Nothobranchius furzeri: one gene and its partners. The protein of the gene in region 5 purifies or fractionates together with the protein of the main gene of each other region. This does not show direct contact. Links are inferred from orthologs where the notes say so. Each region holds a gene or a part of one and is shown on either strand. Other genes may lie near its edges.

Region 1 (4,096 bases), on a different chromosome or scaffold from region 5:
ACTGTGGCCTTACTCTTCGTACCAAAAACTACAAGGCTCACATGATGAGGAAGCACTCCAACCAGTCAATAGATGTTTGCCTGGCCAGTCATCTGCAGTGTGTTTGTGTAGATGAAACTACAGGGTTATTTGCTGTGCAGAGAACTGGCCATGGATTTTCTGTGCCAGTTCACGTTCAGAGGAAAACATGGGGATGTCTCACAATATCAGATGTGAGCTGGAGGAATGTCAGCAATACCAGTTGCTGGCCCAGCGGAGCGGACTAGGCTTCAGTTTATATTAGCACCTTCGCTCACTAGATTACTGCCGAGAAACTGTGAAGGAGGTTTTTCATCAAGAGCACATCGTGATGGAAATGGTGGACCTTAAATGTTTTGGAGAGGCCAAAGCTGCTACATGCATAAAGAGTCAGAAAGCTGCCCAGATGGCACATGCTCCACTTTGTGTGAGGGTGGATTTTGGTGGATCCTCAACACAGATCTGTTTGTCTGTATTTGAGCCGGAAATACACAGTTTCTGCCATCTTGGCAGAATATTTGTGACTTACAATGCTCTGAGGAACACCTGGCATTGCGCTTGTGCAAAGCCACGAATATCGTGTCCTCATAAAAACATAGCTAAATGGCATCTCTTCCAGACACAGAGAGACATCTTCAAATCAACTGTACCACTATCATCAGGCACCCCATCACAGATGACTCAGGGGAGTTCTTCCTTTGAGGACAATGCTGCCGTTGAAAGGAGTATACGCTATATTTTTAAAGAGAAAAAAATTCCTGTATCTCTTCCAGAAAATGGATCATCAGAAACAGCTCTTTCCATGTGAAACGTTGTGCCAGGTGTGCCCAGAGCACCCAAACTTGATGAGGCTGTTCTAATCACCATTAAAGTGAGGATTGTCAGCATGATGGGAGTGATTGAGAGTAAGTTTTAATGAATATGATTAAACATCAGTGTGAAATAATTGGTTATTATTGTTCCTATACTAATGTTTTGACATTGATGTGATTTGTCTTTAACAGATGTTTCAACACACCATAGATTGTGTCCTCAGTGTCACATGGTCTGCAGATACCAGGAGTGGACAGATGGGCTTCACAACTTGGACAACCACGTTGTTTTGTCTCTTGAACTCTGCCTTTTTTTAAGAGAAAATCTGCAGGTGAGGATCACAAAAATAAAATATACTCATCTGAAGATTGCTTTAAAACGAGGATGGACATCATAGTTCTCCCTCTCTGGACACCTGCTCATTTCCAGTTGTGTGTAAGTCTTGTTTTTTGACACATACAAACTGTTAGAATGTTGCTATGCGTCTGAGATGTATTCAAGCTTTTATGACGCAGTTTCAAAAGTCTTTGATTGTGATCGCTTGCAATGACATCGTTTTCAGGTTTGAAGTCATGGCTAACTGTCTTTTAGGTACTGAAGCCACCTAAAAGAGAAATCCTCTTTCTTGACCCATTATACACAAAGGCAGGATTTGGTGGCCAACAATATGTTTCACTTTTGAGGTCACATTTTTATAAGCATTTTTGGTTTGTTCCAGAATTTTCAGGAACCTGTTCAGTGTCCCAGGTTAAGTGCATGATCATGTTCTGCTGATCTTGATTCTTCACACATACAGTACACTCACATGCTTTTTTATAAACTATATCAGCACGATGCTTCAACATTTTATTCTATTTCTCATCTTCACTTTCTGATCAAGTCAGTGATGCTGTCTTTAGATGAGTTTCAGACATAAATAGGGTCTTCAAACGTTTTAGTTTAACATAAAACACCATTAAATATTAGTTTATAAAATATGCCAGCCTCAAATTAAAGCTGAAAATGCTTTATTTTGACCAACTGTGAGCATGTGACTGTACTTTTTCATTTTGTTATGCTGTTTTGTTGAGGTCGTGTTCCTAAGGCCTGTAGTTACAGTTGGTGCTATTAGCAATAAACATTTAACACCCATCATGATGATGTCTGTTAACTTGTGAATGTGACTGTCTTGAAAAAAAGGAATCTTGCAGTGAAGCTCATTCCCGGGCAGTGGTCAGAAAAAAAGAGCTTTGACTTGAAGGTATGTGCTAGTTTAAGTGTATGGTGAATAATATGAATTACACTAGTCTTCTTTTAAGGGATTTTATTAATGAGCCTTTATTTTCAATGTTATACAGGGTTTTCCAAGACAAGACTATGGAGTTGACTGTGGGATCTTCATGCTGATGGTAATTTTTCTCTTCTCTTCTTGAGATTCATACAGAAGCTAATTTAAGCTTCTAAAAAAATTACATTTTTATTTTTTCTTCCAAATAGTCTGCTCTGTACGTGGCACTGGATGCACCATTTGACTATACTATAGTAAGTATTCTATTTACTTTCACAGCAATGGAGTCTTGAATCTTTTGAAAGTTGTTAAATATGTTTCATATTAATATTTTAGTCAGACATGCCCTACTTGCGTAAATGGTGGTGCTTGCTGTTGATGGAGAACTTTGATCTCAGGAGGTATTTATATTTTGACTTCTGTTCTATGTTGTGTCAAAGTTTACACACCTTAACAATATCAACATTTTCTGTTAAGCTCTGGCAAGCTGGAGAGAGGAAGCCAAAGCTGTGCTTGAAGGACAACACGTGCCCATTTTCAGACTGAAAAAGCGCAAGTTCCAGGAAGTCAGTCAGGTCAGTATTCACTTTAAACAGTAGTGTAATTACATGGTTAGTGACATTTGAATAACTGTTAAAAAACTGCAGCGTCTGCAGTGATGCGGACGCTGAGCCGATCTGTCGTGGGGAAGAGGGAGCTGAGCCAGAAAGCCAGGCTCTCGATTTACCGGTCGATCTACGTCCCAATCCTCACCTATGGTCATGAGCTTTGGGTAATGACCGAAAGAACGAGATCGCAGATACAAGCGGCCGAAATGAGTTTCCTCCGTAGGGTGGCCGGGCTCAGCCTTAGAGATAGGGTGAGGAGCTCGGACATTCAGGAGGGACTCGGAGTAGAACCGCTGCTCCTCCGGATCGAAAGGAGCCAGTTGAGGTGGTTTGGGCATCTGGTCAGGATGCCTCCTGGACGCCTCCCTGGGGAGGTGTTTCGGGCATGTCCTGCCGGCAGAAGGCCCCCGGGTCGACCCAGGACACGTTGGAGAGGTTACATCTCCAATCTGGTCCGGGAACGCCTTGGGGTCCTGCCGGAGGAGCTGGTGGACAAGGCCGGGGAGAGGACGGTCTGGAGCTCCCTAGTTGGGATGCTGCCCCCGCGACCCGGACCCGGATAAGCGGAGGAAGACGAAGACGAAGACGAAGTTAAAAAAACTGTTCTGCAACAGAGAAATAGCTGTGTTTTTATCCCCATTTACCTGACACAGGAGCCAGCAGTTGTTGAATATCTGCGTCCTGCTGTGCAGTGGGTTGTCCAAAACAATGCCAAAATATCTGTCCTTAAATCAAGGGGACCAGCAGAGGGTCTTAAGAGACATGTCAGAGGAAGACGACACTGGAGCAAGGGACATGTTCCTGTTTGTTTTTCAGTTTGCAGAGGACATGGAGCTCTTTTTGAAAGCACTTGCTGATGAGCAGGGACTAAGGGTCAGTGCTACTATGTTTGACATGTAATGGACAAATGAAGGCACTGACTGTGTTTGTTTGTTTGTTTGTTTAATATGTCATTGTTGTTGTTTTTGTTTTGTTTTTGTATAGTACAAAATTCCAATTAAACTTATTTCAAAATGTTGTTCACTTGATTCTATGTTCATACTTTTAAGAAAGGATTACAGAGTAACAGCATTAAATGTAAATGTAACAGCATTTTTTTTATACTTGTAATTTCAAAATAAAAAGCTTATTGTTGATATTAACAGTAAAGAATTGAAATCAATAATATTTGTATACATTTTAAACATTAGCACTCTGGGCTCTATCCTGGCCATTTGTGGCCACTTCACTTATTCTTTTTTTTTTTTCTTTTTTTTTTTGACTGCTGCACTGCAGTGGACCAAAAGAATGACACGGGTTTGATCTTAAGGATCTAATAGTTGTGTGTGTTGTGCATGACATTGCCACACAAATATGTATTTGCAAGATAGAGAAGAATAAATTATGACAC
Region 2 (3,514 bases), on a different chromosome or scaffold from region 5:
TAAATGTTTGCTGAACCCTGAAGGACAACAATATTATAATTTTCTTCAAAGGAACATAAAGAAAAAAGTATTACAGCCCCAAATTACAATGTTGGACCGGAGGATTGTTTGTATTTGAAGCATCCCTCTGTCCCTCAAAAACCCACAACAAACCAGGAGATAATTACAGCACGGCTGAAAAAAACTAAATAAAATCAGAAATCACAAACTTCATTCTCACATACATGTGGTCTCAGTTTTAATAAACGCCGACTCCAGGAAGCCTAAATGCCTTCCCCTCCTGTCGGCTCAGGGGTCCTCTGAACTAAAAGGAATGAATATAAGTGAACGGGACTATATAAGGTATTTTTGGTCCGCTTTGCCTTCCTATGTGTATTTTCTGGCTTTCAGTTATTTTCTTCACTTTACAATCCCAGAAGGTACAAATCAGATATGCTAACAAAAACACCATGACTGGTTCCAAATCAGTAAGGAATTCTCTCTCTTTTCCTCCTCTGAGGCTGCATGTAAACATCGCAGCTCTCTGTCTAAAGCCAAAAGAACCAGAAACATTGCCCCAGTCATTGGTTTCAGTGTGTGTGTTAGCATGATCACTGCAATGAAACACAGTAAAGATGGACCAGACAGAAACTCCATCTGACACTTTAAAGCAAGGGTCCTCAACTACATGTGTTCAAGTGCCAGATGCTCTTCCTAAATACAGTTCAAGTATTATTGTATCCTAATTTGTTAATATTTAAAATTTGTTTTCCATCTAAACTGCTTTGATTGTATTTTTGTGTTTGGAGAACGTAAACCATTATTGATATTTGGGACATGAATTTTGCTGCTAAACTTCAAAAGAAAGAAACAAAACAATTGTTTATAAAGCACCTCAAGATAAAAATCATGAAGCACTTCACAAAAACAAAAAAATGAAAATGAAATGAAAAGAAAGATAAAAAAAATGATTAAAAAAGTCCCCCAATTGGGGGGCATTAGGGCCCAAAGGGCTAGGGGGAGAGGTGTGATGGACCAGATGTGGCCCGCTGGCCACCAGTTGAGGTTCACTGCTTTAGAGTGTTTTGTTGACAGATTTGGGCAGATTTCGCACACACACAACAGAACATAGATAATTATTCAGTCTGGAACCCAGAAACAACATCTGTGGCGTGTCAACATCTGCTGCTGGTCCTCCGTGAAATCACAACCATCACAACAGACTGCTGTAGCCAAGTCCAAACAGCACATGCACGATTCCTCTTTTTATATATTACTGCATCATTATACTAAAGTAATGAAATGTAAGATTTAAAATACATTTTTGTTCTTTGCATCTCTCATTGAATTTTTGGATTCATGCCCAAGAAACCGCTTTTTTAACTTGAAAACAAATGAAGGAAAGAATTGTTTGATAGAATTTTAACAAAAATCGTGATTCAGATTTTATCAGAAGCCTCTTGCACCACACGGGCGAGTGTTTCAGCTCGATGTTTTTACTTTTGTCACTTTACTTTCTAAAAATCACCAAGCATTGCATAAAAATGCACATTCAAGTAGAATCATGGACATGAGCTCATACCTCTCCGACGTGGGGTCTGCACAGTTGAGTGGATACTTGAGCTCGATGACGTCTCCATTTTTCTCTTTCAGCTGCCCATGATGCTCCATGTAATACTGCACCAGCTCTGCAAGAGTGGCAAACTTCTCCCCACCGTAGAGGTCGTAGTAGTCCCCTGTATTTTGAATCTTAATGTGGGTGACAGCTCCATTTCGCCTAAACACAAGACCAAATAAGGGAACAGAATCAGACAGGTGTAAGAGCTCATCAGCAGAATCCAACAAGAAGTCTGCGGCTCATAAAAAATCCTGTCAGCGCAGATCGCTGTAGAAAAGTAATCCCTAAAATATTCCAACAGTCTAGTCCAGCTGCATCTTCAAAAACAACGATGAAAGAAATCACGTTTCTAGCAGATTAAAAGTCCACATGGTGTGTTTTTATAAGCCAAACTACTGAGCTTGAGCTAAATCAGTGGTCAACATTATGGCAGAATTGAAGATGAATGCGTGAACGTTTCAAAATCCCAAAAAAGCCAGTGTTTACAACTTTACAACCATAATGAACCAATTCCTTCTTACATGCTGAAACTAGACAAGATCTATTTAGCAATAGCAGCTAATTCTTAGAGAGTGTAATCCTGTGTTCCTGCAGAAATACGGAAATGTCTGAGCTGATTTCTGAGTTAGCAGAAACAACAGGCTAAAGCCGGGAAGGGTCATTTACACAATCATTAATATGGCATTGGGTTAAGATGTAGAGGTTCGTGAGCCGTTTAAAGCTACAGAGGGTTCATTCTCATCAAGAGGAAACTAGTAAATGTTACCAGACATGAAAAAGTCTTGTAATCAACACCAGGAGATAAAGTATAGCAGGGTAGAAATATGTGAGGGTTAAATAACTGTCACTAAAACATAATGCTGCAATTTCAATACCCCCTTATAAAGCAGAAAACCAGATATGAGCATTTATTATACAATAGCAGGAATATTCAGCTCTGTATCCCGAGTCCTTTCTGTGCAGAGTGTAACAGAATCAGATGTTGTCTCTACAGAATAACTCCACTGTTGTATGTCACTGATGAAGAATAGATCTGAAAGACAAAACTGTGTTTCATTTAGCTATTCAAACCAGACAGACAACCAACTACTGAGTCACACATGATCACCATTATCTCAGAAATAGAAAAGAAGAACTTGTGGCAGAGCTGGACCTGAGCAGATTTTAACGGCCTCACGGGGAATTCTGCAGTGAAGGAGATGTGCTGGTTAGAACCAGCAACAACTGGTTTCCCCATGGAAATGTCTGCTTTTGTCTCTGTGTGAAGTGCATACTGAGTACGACGGGAGACCGTACTGTTAGAATATGAAACTGCAGCAAAAATAACTTTGTCTACATCAGCCAAATTGACTTAATGACACTTCCTCTCACAAACGTATGACTCGACAGGCCCAGAGATAAAACCAGCTACTTTATTTTCATTAGTTACATTTTGGCTATCGCTTGGATAATGTTGGCGGTCTCGCTACATTCAAAACTACGAATCAAGCAGAATTGGATGCAAGTTATTTCCATTTTGGTGTAAAACACTCCCACAGCAACAGGCACGGTCAAAGTTTGACCTGATATAAACATTATTAAAGAGTCACTTATTTGCACATCCAGAACATACTGAGCAAGCCATCATTTCTTTCAAGTCATATTTGTGCTGGTGTAAGGCTAAGTCTGATGTTTGTTCTCTGAGTTGCTCTGCATCACATGCACATCAGAGGTCATCAGCCTGAACATCTGTCTGTTGCATCTGGACAAAAGACTAAAGCCTCATTTACACCAAGTGTGGAACAGATGCAGATCAGAACTAGAGGTCGACTAATATTAGCTCATCTATTGCCAATAGCGATGCCTATATGTAAAGGTCGTGGTCAGCCGATGGCCGATGTGCTGATGATTTTCATGGCTGATATCTGGGCATTTCCA
Region 3 (3,514 bases), on a different chromosome or scaffold from region 5:
TACGTTGGCATAACTTTGTAGCTTCCCAATTGTAAATGGAACTTAATAGCAGCAACACTGAGTGTTTTTCTGTTTGTGTGTTCATGTCACCGAATAGAAATTTTGACCCACATGCTTTTCGCTAGATTAAATCAGCACCTAGCCTATTTCCCGAGGGACGGTGATTCGGCTCAGCATTGAAAATCTTCCAGCCGCAGAGGACCAATTAGCTTTATCGTGGATCGGTTTGTGCATCACGTGTGTGTAATGGAAAGCTTTCGTGTGAAACACAGCCTGCCTGTTAACTAAAATTAGCCTCCTGCAAATTACATTATCTGGTCTATTTTCTGGCAAAAACAAAAGGGCCTTATTCAGTGCTGTAAGTGCGTGCCAGATCAATTTCAATCAGGTGTGCATTTCATAGCTGTGGGTTTTTAAGCTGTTCATTTGGTCGTCTGGCTGCTCACATGTCATCTAAATGTATTTCAACTTACTGAGGTGCAGTTTGCAACAAAGATTGGTGATATAAATTTATGGCATATGAATGGGAGATGAAATCTGTTTTTTGAGGCATCGCGGTTTTTCTAAATCGATTTTGTTTATGTTTATTTACCGCAATGTTGAGCAACATAAGGTGGAACAGGAAGTACAGCACAGACTTTAAAAAAATTTTTTTATAAGCACATAATGGAGGCACAATTTGCAGTGGCGTGTCCAGGCCTTTTAAAATGGGTGGCTCCAGTGGGGCACTAATTTATGCATGGGTGGCACCTATAGTTATACTTTTTGTTTTGATCTGCGGGGTTGTCACCCCTCACAAAATAATACATTTTTGCATTATTCTTCAACTTCTTGTTTTGAGGTGGTTAGCAAGCCACTTCTTGGTGCATTACCGCCATCTACTGGAGTGAGTTTGGACCAGGACTATGAATACTATTTTTGTCAATATGAAAACAATAATTAATAATACACAAATGTTCTGTAGGCCTGTGACTAGAAACTAATGTTAAAAGTCCATACTGTCGACTACTGTTTTAGGGGTTAACCCTTATTTTTTTGTGGACAACTTAATGTCAATTTAAGTGGAACTCATTGGGGTGGCCAGTCAGATTCCAAGAGTGGCAAATGCTGCTCCAGACCACTCACTGGACACGCCATTGACAATGAGCAATAAAAAGAGTGAACAAGTGAACATTTTAAACATGGCCGCCGAGCGAGACCAGTGTTGTGTCAAAAGGCCTTCCTTCTCCAAATATCGTCTGTTTTTCTTTTGTTTTTGATTCTGAATCAAGACAACAGCAAACATCATTCAAAATAATATTAAACCCACAACCATTTTTTGAATGAAAGCGGCCATTTGATGCACCCCTTCTTGTTCTTACCTTGAATCTAACAATTTTGTCTCATTAAGTTTTTATAGTGTAGTGATTTCAGTCACTTGAAGAATCAATAGCCCTGCTTTGATTCAGCGGTGGTCACATTAGCCGAAATGGCACTGTAAAATGTCTGAATCAGTGTGTGGGATGGGGGTGGGGGGATGGCTGAGCTCTGACTCTTTCCTGTGTAGTCATTTGAGTGGGCGAGTCCTATTTCGTTTGTTCAGCAGCCAATAGGACGCTTGCATTGCACTGGCTGGGCTGAGACAGCCTGTTGAATGCTCCAGCTGCGCTGGCCTCTGCAGACATGTTTCAGTTTTGGGAAAAGGGATTTTTACGTTTAACAAACCCAGCATGAGGCTGATCCACCTCCTGTCTCCTGCAGGGTGAGCTCGGAGCGCAGGAAGGAGAAATCAAGGGATGCAGCAAGATGCCGCCGTGGGAAGGAGTCGGAGGTGTTCTATGAGCTGGCCAAGCAGCTGCCTCTCCCCCACAGCACCAGCTCAAGCCTGGACAAGGCCTCCATCATGAGGCTGACCATCAGCTACCTGCGCATGAGGAACCTTCTCTGCAGTGGTCAGCATCTGTAGCGACAGATGATTATAAACCATTCCACTGCTCTGTTAACCATGTACCTGCAGTATGCTTGTCATATTTGTTATCTTGTTGACTTCAGAGTAATTCACTTCATTTACATGTAGCCTATAGTGGAAAACACAAAGGAGGTACTGCGTATTCTGCCATAATCTCTCTGCAGAAACACCTGGGGCTAGAGGAGTGGTTTTTCTGTGTCTGCAGCTGTTTGAACCGGTTATTTGTCCTTTAGCTTATCACCCACCTTGCTCCCTCTCTCAATGCTCCAGATAAGCCAATGGAAGAGGGGGAAACTGAGCTTGATGTTCAGCTGAACGGGTCCTACCTGAAGGCGTTGGAGGGCTTCCTCATGGTGCTGTCTGAAGACGGCGATATGATTTATCTCTCGGAGAATGTCAGCAAGTGTCTTGGGCTGGCGCAGGTGGGTCTGAAGCAGGGAATTAAAAAATAAGTGCACATTTTTAAGCTTTAAATGAATACTTCTTGGTAGCTCTATTTATATATTTGTGTTTTAAAAGTATATTTCTGTTTGTTTGCCTTTGCAGTTTGACCTGACTGGCCACAGTGTGTTTGACTTCACACATCCCTGCGACCAGGAGGAGCTGAGAGAGATGCTCCTCTGTAGAACAGGTGAGCAGTGTTGCACTGAAGAGTACAAATGTGTAGAGAAACCGAGACGCGCACACACAGAGCTCTCTGTCGGGTGTGTTGGTGCTCCAGATGGTAGAAAGTCCAACTCACTCTGTGGTCAGCTCTGCTTAGTAACGACACAAAAATCCACTCCGGTTTTGAGCAGTGGCTGAGTAATCTTCCGACCTTTTAATCATCAATAACAGATCTTTGCTTTGCTTCTCGTTAGTGAGATAAGTTTTGCTGAATCTTCTCTCTGCTTCGGTTCACTCTTACATTTAGGACCTGTGTTTTTTGTTATTTCTTTGCTCACTGATACCGCCTCGGCTCTAACTGCTGGTAGCTATTTCCATTTTATCCTCTAGCTCACCACAAGGCCACAGCATCAGAGCAAATGTCTCCTTTTGATGCAAATTTTATCAGTTGGCAGTTTGTAGATTGTTGAGTTGGGACCAATAAAAAAGAGCAATCTACTGCTGGCTTACTCTGCCTCACTCTGGATTCATATCTGTTTAATTTTGTGATTCCAGGCTCCAAAAAAAGCAAGGAACCAAATAATGAACGGAATTTCTTTCTGAGGATGAAATGCACCCTCACAAGCAGAGGTCGCACGGTTAATGTCAAGTCGGCTACATGGAAGGTAAAGAAGTGTTGAAGCTGTGGAGCATCTCGGGCTCCTAAATTAAAAAAGTTACTTAAAGTAAAAAATAATAATTACAGAAAGATTAAAGTTTCCCTCTTGGTTTGAAAACGTGTTTCTGTAGGTCCTTCACTGCTCGGGTCACATGTGTGTTCATGACCATCGAGCAGAGCAGATGGAGCCACTGCTCCCCTACCTGGTTCTGATCTGTGACCCCATCCCCCACCCTTCCAACATCGAGGTCCCTCTGGACACCAAGACGTTCCTCAGCCGCCACACCATGGACATGAAGTTC
Region 4 (4,188 bases), on a different chromosome or scaffold from region 5:
TACTGTGAAACCAACAAACATTTATGACGAATGTTTTTTATAATTTAGAATGTTAATCTAGACTGTACATTTATAAAAAATATGAATAAATATGGCAAATAACAAATAAAAAAAATAATATCAGCCCTCTGGGGTCCTGGGTGTAAATCACCGTTTTTGACTCATTTTGGTTTGTCTTTTGTATTTTCTAACAAAAACAATAAATTTTGCCTTATGGGGTATCATTTTTTTCAGAACAACCTGGACTATCTGAATTTATACTTATTTTATTAATTTGGCAATAATGTGCATGCATTTTGGAGTGGGGAGTGGCTCTGTCTCACGCCGCGGAGATCGAGATCTGACAGCTGCGCGGCGCCGCCCACTCCTCTTGTTGGATCTCCGAGGAGCTGGATCTCTGCCTTCATCCTCTACCTCATCATGACCCAACTCTTCTATGAGGAAGGATGGATCTGCCACATCGTCATCAACATCCTCGCTATTTGCTTCAGACTCCGGCTGCGAGTCTCCGTCCACTTCCTCTGCTTCCAGTTCAAAAAACAGCCGAACTGCCTGGTGGACATTTATCCTTCTCACCATCCTTTATATAAGCCTAATAAAAGCCTACTAAACTGCAGAGACAACATATCTGTCCGGATCGCTCCAAAATATGAAGTTTACCATCAATATCTGTCTAACTGTTTGTTGTTACTCCGTTCGCGCCACTCCGTTCCCCGCCAAGCGGCTCCTTTTTGCGCACATCTCGTTACTCGTGCGGCCTTCCTCTCTCTCTCAGCTACATGATGATACTTTTTATCAGTTGAATATGTGAGACTTCCAGCAACAGCAAAAGGATCTCATGTTTTTGTGGGTTTTTTATGTTCACAAGCACATTCCCTCTCACGGATTACTAAACTGCTGTTTGACAAGTTATCAGATTGTCTAAAAAAAGGTCATTTTTTAGTTTAGTTTAACTCCGCTTTTACGTTGCTTATTAACACAATTTAAAAACTGGGGTGTAGTTTATAATCTCCTTTTTAAAGCTGAATTGAAACGGAAACTCAGGGAGGCGGAGTCTTGCTGCTACAGCGTCCCAAATCAGACCTGTTCAAAAGACGCGGATAAGCGTCCACGGACCCCAGAGGGTTGAAGACAAATGAGTCAAAACTTCAAAGCAGCCCTAAGAACTGGGATTGTGGAAGTGTCCACACACCTGAAGCTCCTTGACTCTGTGGATCAGGGGGTCATATGCAAGCGACACCTCTGCAGCAGCTTTATCCAAAGCCTCCAGGTAGGCGTGTTTCTTCCTGGCCAGTATTCCCTCCAGCACAAGAAAAAACTGATCCACTTCCTGTTTGTCCTGCCTCACTAGAGCCTCACAGCGGGCTTTGTCCTGCTCCAGCTGCTCTGCCAGGTCACACACCTAACCAACAGCCACAAGACGTTAGACGTATTAATCAAAACAAAAACGGCACAGAATTCCTGCTCCCAAACCCCGACGCCCACCTGCGCCCATCTCTGCTCCGAAAGTCTGGCGAGCAGCAGCGATGGAGTCTGTTTTTCTTTGATGAAGGCGGCCTGAAGGTCATCTATGGGATGTCCCTGATGCTGCCCGACGGTCAGACACAGACCACAGATCAGCTGCCGATCCTGGATGCAGTACATGTTCAGAGGTTGTCTGTGGTGCTCCTGGCAGGACGGGGGTCGAGGCGCATTGTTCGTCTGGTACTGAAAGTAAAAAGAAACAAGCCCGTCAGAAGGATTTCAGACAAACGGGAACAGACGGGCCAGCCTCTCCTACTTTCTCAATGATGGCCCGCAGGGACACATTGGTGGGCAGAGCATCTACACCCATCGGGGGCAGCTCCACCACGCTGCAACAGTTGGGACACTTTATAGGCAGGCGGAGGGGACGCCAGGTGGAATAGTTGGTGGACACCTGCAGCAGGCTGTCCAGGCAGGTCTTGCAGAAGGTGTGAGAACACGGCAGGACCCGCGGGTCGCAGAACAGAGAGTAGCACACAGAGCACGTCAGGTCCTCCTCAAGGGTCTCCATGACGGATCTAGAGGACTCTGGTGGAACAAAGTCTGTCACTTCTGCAGGATGGTTCCTGTTGGACAAAAATTATAATAATTCACAACAGATAACAAGCTTTATTTGGAATTTACCTAAAGATCTGACTGATTAATGCTCAAAGAATAAAACAAATACCTGAAGGAAACACTACGTGATGTTTCTCATGTCTCATTATTGTTAGTGCTGCTCACACTGGATCAGGATCTTATTACTTATTACAATGACCACCCCCTCTCCTCGTTACACACACACACACACACACACACACACACACACACACACACACACACACACACACACACACACACACACACACACACACACACACACACACACACACACACACACACACACACACACACCAGAGCCCAGAGCCAACAGTGGTGTCTCGGATCAAACCATTACCTGTGGCCTGTGGGATGAGTTTAAAGTGTCCAGATAGTTTGTGCTTCCTTTTTTCTTTCTTTTAGCCCAAAACTGGCACTCTCACGCGGCGGGGAGGCTTAAAGACTACTTTAAAAGCAACATTCGTAAATTTGATCAACTATTGCGATACACAGTCTTTTTCTCGTGAGGTGACACGACGCAAATCACCTTAAAATCCGTCTTCCCGAAGTTTTTAGACTCACCGCGGTTCTGCTCGGCCGTGTAGCGTTTGTCCCAAACAGCTTTCATTTCCCCTGATGGTGCTGCCTTCAGGTGCATCCAGTAAAGTCCAGCAACACGAGCTTAAACAGGAAATAAAACGTCTCACCTCATTTCTGGTAAAGCTGTCTAGTACTTTATTAGTTTTTGGGACCAGAATAGTTTAAGATGCAACTTCTCTTGCCACCGTAAGATTTTACTTTTGGAAAAAAAAGTCTTCCATTGTAAAATGTGGAAGTTTTAGTTTTCCGGTAGTTCCTAACGCACAGTTTCTCGTTCTGCTTGTGCGCATGCGCTCGATCTGTTGCTCAGGCCAATCAGGTCGCGTCGTTTTCCAGTTTAAATTCAGGCCCAACAATTAGGAGAAAGGGAGGCGTCAGGAGGAAAATGCACTAGAGGATTAATTATACTTCATTTCACAACAGAACTGTCTCTCTCACTCACTCTCTCTCCCACACACACACACACTTTTGGGTTTGTGTTTCACTATTTATTTTTCTTAAAGACAACTTAGCCGGTAGCCAACATCCCCTGAAAGGTTTTATAGGCTTTTTCTATTCCTTCCAGGTCATAATTTTTGATTTGAAACCACTTTGCTAACAAGGAATGCTGCAAAAAAATAAAATAAAACAAAAAAGTACCCCTATGTTCAACAAAAGGTTTTGAGCACAATGTGTAATCATCACTAGTGTTTGAAGTGAACAGAAAAATAAACATGAGGGTAAGCTTGTACACTTAGCTTGTAGGAGCAAAAAAGGGCTAAAGACTCTGCAAGGTACTACAATTACAGCAAACCTGTTCATGGGTTTATTTACGATTCAGGAAACCCCCATTAGAACATCTCCAGTCTGACGCATGGGACACCTTTGACCGTGAACAGGGAGGTTAAATCCCCTTCCAGTGAAGCTGAGATACATTAGATTCACTACCGCTGCTCCTGAAATAAACTCATTATTGTCTCGAGTATCACTAAATGTTATCATTGGATCATTCCAGAAAACACAGACTGTGGCTGAGTGATGCTTAAATGTAAGGGTGTCTGGGCAGGTCAAAACATATTAAACCCACCAGCAGCAACACCTTCAGAAAGACTTCAGGCCTCACTTTGCAATACATGTGCAAAACAATAATTATTTAGCAAACCGGACAACAGTGAGGAGTCAGGGAAAGGGAAACATGTAACATTTAAGCACAGCTTTACTTAAAATAAAAAAATTACACTGTATTCACAGCCTAAGGGAACTAAAATACCCTAAAAAATAACTGTGCTGTTGTTTAGTACATGCAAAGGGGAGGATTCACAATTCTACGCAGGATGGCCGTGGTTTTCCTCTCCTGTGGTTATGAAAGCTGCTGCAGCCGTACTGCAAAAGCAGTGGTGTTGCTGTAAAGGCTGAGGAACGTGGTTTTGTGAGAGGAACGGGTCATTTGGTTGACTGGTGATGGAGGGGGGGGGGGGGGGGGGTCAAACTTTCACAGCATCAAGC
Region 5 (4,052 bases):
ACGCTAGACTTCCGCCAAGAAATACAGGACGTCCTGAACAGCTGTCAGCTCTCGAAGTAGAGAGAAGTTAATAATCTCAACCAATGTTTTTTGTATAAAGGCTTACTAGAAACAATGAAGAAAAAAACACACTTCCTTTCCTCAGCTGTCAGCGACAGAGCACATGGATCAGAAACTACAGAACCATTCCTGTCTTTAATGATTAACTTCACATTGCATTTCTTAGAATTATAATGCAACTTCAGATCAGATCTTTCATTTACCTTGTTACACAAGGCTTTTATCTGACCAAAATGAGGTTGCATGGGTCCCTGGAGGATTACTGTCTTCTGCACACCGACAAAAAAGGTATTCAGTGAATCCAGCAGAGCCGTCTTCCCTGTCATGGAAATTAAATACCAAAGCAAAGCTTTTGTTTAATGCTTACATTACAAGGATAATGTTACGGTATCACCTAAACTCTGGTGAAGCACACAATCTTAACTTGTACAATGAGCTTGGCAGTATTTGTATACACAAGCTAAAGCAGAGCTAGTGTAACAGCCCTTCTGTTTGGTTTCATGATGCGATCCACTAAATAAAACAGCCGTAAGTGTTGATAAAATTGTAAACGATAAAACTTGGGACTTAATATTCTGTCAAAATCTTTCATGATTCAGCATATTTAAAAGAAACAGAAACATTTAATAATTTATTCCATTCAAAACACCCAAAACATCAGCATTATGTAGGTCTTATCTGACAGCACACACGATTAATAGTTTCATCGTAAATCTGTGTACATTAGGCCACGTGACTTGGAATATGAAGGGAGGCTATTCTACATTTAGGCGTGACTCCTTTGTAAAAGCTAAAAAGAATAAGGTCAGCGATATCAGCATCACCCTGCGATGGACTGGCTCTCTGTCCAGGGTGTACCCCGCCTGATTGCTCATTGACACCCCCCCCCCCCCCCCCCCCCCCCCCCCCCCCCCCCCGAGACCATATGTGGACAAAGCGGGTTCAGACAATGGATGGATGGATGGATATCAGCATCACCTGTTTCTGCCAAATTTAAAGGTCAATGGAAAAACAGTGTTTCATAAGCTTTCATTTTATCCTTTAATACGCTGAAATTCAAACATGTTTTGATACAGTAGTTAATACGCTGTAATAAAATAAGAACTGAGCTAAAAAGGTGTTTTTTAAGCATTTGTGTCACCTTATATAAGTTCACATCACACATGCTCCTCTTTCACTGGTATATGAAAATGATGCTAACACATGGTGAGAATTGCTGAGGAAGTGAAACCCCAACAAACGTGACATCACAAGAGGATTGCCCATGGTCAAATCAATGGTACTGCTTTATTTAGAAAATTTTGAACAAACGCCCTACCTTCTTACCTGCTATCCAAAAAGAATAAATGCTACTGGAGTTATCTCTCTCATGTTTTTGATGATTTAATTATGTTTGGGGAGGGTCCTGGCTGTATAATCAATTATTCAGTGTCTACAGTCACAGAGGAGACACAGTAGTGCTTGATTATTTACTTCTTTTGTTTAGCTAAGAAGGTAAAAACAGCCAAAATTTTCTGTAAACTGATGCACTGGTGAGTCCCAGGACTGTGCCCTTTGTTTGGTGGATATTTTACAAAGACCTTTTGCTGAGGTCACACACATTTCACATGATACATGATAGGAACCTTTTGAAGATGCTCATGTTACACAAAGCTACACACAGACAATGATTTGGCCTAATTTTGTCAGTATCCCATCATATGAGTATTTTCACACTCCAGACGGGCAGAGTAGGACTTCAATATTCAACATGACTCATAAAAAAAAAATTCTAATCTTGTTAGGTGTGTTTTGTCAGTGAGCATTTACCACTTACGGTAATGCACAATGAGATTCCTTAAAACAGACAAGCCACATTCCAGGAAGTAGAGCTCTCCACAAAAAAAAAAAAAGAAGCAATCATGCCAAGTTTGTCATTTTACTGACAGTTAACAGGCAGGACACTTGCGGGTTATTGGACACAATAATAATGATGATCATAATGGGTTTTCTTTTTCAGTTGTAACATCATCAAACTAAAATAGTAAGTGTCATTAGTCAATACTACACTTTTCTTTTCTTTTAATTTTGAAAGTGATCATGGATCTGATCCTGTTATGCAGCTCTGCACATGATGGGGTGAAGATGAGCGTGACAACAACGACGGCTTATAACAAACACTGGCCTGGAATTTTATGGGGTCATATTCATATCCTGGAAGATGCTCTTTCTCTCTTTTACTGTTTTTTTAATTTTTTTTTGTTTTGTTTTACCAACAGATCGAAATTACTGATAAATTGAGCCAAAACACATTATTGAAAGTAAACAACAACAACAAAAGAAAAAAAAACAACTATTCAAGACTGAACGTCTTAGCTGTAATATTTTATATCGGAAATAATTAATTAAAAGCAGTAAGGCAATAATAACTTTGCTATATGCCATAGCGGAACACAATGTTTCTGCACACAGAATAACTTATGACCAGCACAAATAGGCGTTTAGCAGCGTTCAGCTGGCCAAGCCTTTTATATCATGGCCATTAGTAAATATAAACTGATAACGGGTTTACATAAAAAAAACATTCACAAATAAAGATGGAGTAAGTTAGTTTGAATGCAGTCGCTTACCCGAGTCGTTGTCACGTCTTTGGAAAGATTCTCCGACAAAAACCCGAAAACTGTTAACTAAAAGTACACTGAAGGCAACACTTAATTTCTTCTAAAACGGTAAACCCACATAAACGAGAGAAAACACTCACAAAAGATGCCAACCTTTACTCTTCCCTTAACAACACGAGAAACACTTCTTCAACCCTAGAGCCAGTAGCCCAACCCATCAGCCGCTCTGCAAGTCTTTTCAGCCAATCAAACGCGCTTCTGTTGTTGATTGACATTCCAAGTGGCAAATAGCAATATAGAAATTTCTGTTAACCAAATCAGAGCAGATGTGTGACGAAAAGATGCGCGGCGTAACAGCATGTTTGGTTGAGTGCTATGTTTACTGCTGTCGCAACTGGGCTGTTCCTCTTAGTCCTCCCTCCTCGGGGTTTTCCGTTCAAAGAACAGCATGTTCGGCTGTTACGGAGGGAGGAAAGGCGTTTGAAAAGAAGAGCCAGCCTGGAAGTCATCTGAGTTACTGGCAATGCTGACGTCACCGAGTCTAATAACACATCTGCAGTTTAGTGTTAATCCTAACGGGACAAAAATAATTAATACAAGTGTCCAAACGTAATCAAACTAAGTTTATTTAAAATAATATTTATAAATGACACACGTGTGGATAAATGGATTTATAGATAGATAAAACAGTCAACAAACCTTAAACTGGTGGATTATGTAATAAGCGTTTATTAATATTGAACCTGTTTGGCCAAAACACCTTGAGTCTGGCAGGTACAGTCAGTGACATCAAGGCCATACGCCACTTACAGATGCAACAGTGAAAAGAAAAGAAAACTGAATTACACCGCTGCAAAAACACATTTAGGTAATGGGAGATCGTTTATATATCTGTCAAAAATCAACACAAAGATAAAGCTATAAAATAAAAATGATAATCTTACAAGCATATAATTTATTTTTATGTAAAGATAACAATTCCCCTTGGTGTGTTGTAATAGTTTGCATAGACTTGTAACACGATCACACGCATGCTTTCTTTTGTCTTTCTCACTGCTTAGCTTTCACAGAGAGAGAGAGAGAGAGAGAGAGAGAGAGAGAGAGAGAGAGAGAGAGAGAGAGTAAACACTTTCCTTAATTGCATTTCCCCATCCATTGATTATTTGGGTGGTGTTTCCTCTGCCACAATGCTTCTGGGTGCCTGCAAACACATCAAGGTCATAGAAGTCTGCAGGGAGGAAGAAACAGAAGCACTCCTCTTGTTTCTGTCTGGAGCCTTGCACGGTTTCCTCTCATGATCTAATGTGACAAAGGTTGAACGCTGCCACAGGCAGTTGACTTCACATTCAGAATAGATTACCGTAAGAGATGTATCCTCCCATTATGTTTTGC

Evidence for each region.
Region 1: the proteins of stat3 (region 5) and hdac3 purify together in Homo sapiens (affinity purification with western blotting; 4 studies listed by BioGRID). This does not show direct contact. The link is inferred for Nothobranchius furzeri from reciprocal best matches to the Homo sapiens genes STAT3 and HDAC3.
Region 2: the proteins of stat3 (region 5) and ptpn11a purify together in Homo sapiens (affinity purification with western blotting; 3 studies listed by BioGRID). This does not show direct contact. The link is inferred for Nothobranchius furzeri from reciprocal best matches to the Homo sapiens genes STAT3 and PTPN11.
Region 3: the proteins of stat3 (region 5) and hif1aa purify together in Homo sapiens (affinity purification with western blotting; 4 studies listed by BioGRID). This does not show direct contact. The link is inferred for Nothobranchius furzeri from reciprocal best matches to the Homo sapiens genes STAT3 and HIF1A.
Region 4: the proteins of stat3 (region 5) and trim59 purify together in Homo sapiens (affinity purification with western blotting; 4 studies listed by BioGRID). This does not show direct contact. The link is inferred for Nothobranchius furzeri from reciprocal best matches to the Homo sapiens genes STAT3 and TRIM59.

Annotation. Positions count from the first base shown.
Region 1 is NC_091741.1:31,103,498-31,107,593, forward strand, and holds the start of hdac3 (histone deacetylase 3), read left to right. Parts: upstream 1-1,287; 5' UTR 1,288-2,071; intron 2,072-2,168; 5' UTR 2,169-2,219; intron 2,220-2,307; 5' UTR 2,308-2,352; intron 2,353-2,434; 5' UTR 2,435-2,499; intron 2,500-2,575; 5' UTR 2,576-2,673; intron 2,674-4,096. UniProt on the Homo sapiens protein: Histone deacetylase that catalyzes the deacetylation of lysine residues on the N-terminal part of the core histones (H2A, H2B, H3 and H4), and some other non-histone substrates.
Region 2 is NC_091746.1:40,337,719-40,341,232, forward strand, and holds part of ptpn11a (tyrosine-protein phosphatase non-receptor type 11), read right to left. Parts: intron 1,757-3,514; coding exon 1,562-1,756; intron 1-1,561. UniProt on the Homo sapiens protein: Acts downstream of various receptor and cytoplasmic protein tyrosine kinases to participate in the signal transduction from the cell surface to the nucleus. Positively regulates MAPK signal transduction pathway. Dephosphorylates GAB1, ARHGAP35 and EGFR.
Region 3 is NC_091758.1:31,049,929-31,053,442, reverse strand, and holds part of hif1aa (hypoxia inducible factor 1 subunit alpha a), read left to right. Parts: intron 1-1,740; coding exon 1,741-1,931; intron 1,932-2,218; coding exon 2,219-2,370; intron 2,371-2,494; coding exon 2,495-2,579; intron 2,580-3,109; coding exon 3,110-3,219; intron 3,220-3,343; coding exon 3,344-3,514.
Region 4 is NC_091753.1:52,625,741-52,629,928, forward strand, and holds the start of trim59 (tripartite motif-containing protein 59), read right to left. Parts: upstream 2,815-4,188; 5' UTR 2,686-2,814; intron 2,627-2,685; exon of another isoform or gene 2,462-2,626; intron 2,091-2,461; 5' UTR 2,036-2,090; coding exon 1,781-2,035; intron 1,708-1,780; coding exon 1,486-1,707; intron 1,403-1,485; coding exon 1,193-1,402; intron 1-1,192. UniProt on the Homo sapiens protein: E3 ubiquitin ligase involved in different processes such as development and immune response. Serves as a negative regulator for innate immune signaling pathways by suppressing RLR-induced activation of IRF3/7 and NF-kappa-B via interaction with adapter ECSIT.
Region 5 is NC_091745.1:6,845,722-6,849,773, forward strand, and holds the start of stat3 (signal transducer and activator of transcription 3), read right to left. Parts: upstream 2,811-4,052; 5' UTR 2,670-2,810; intron 380-2,669; 5' UTR 264-379; intron 1-263. UniProt on the Homo sapiens protein: Signal transducer and transcription activator that mediates cellular responses to interleukins, KITLG/SCF, LEP and other growth factors. Once activated, recruits coactivators, such as NCOA1 or MED1, to the promoter region of the target gene.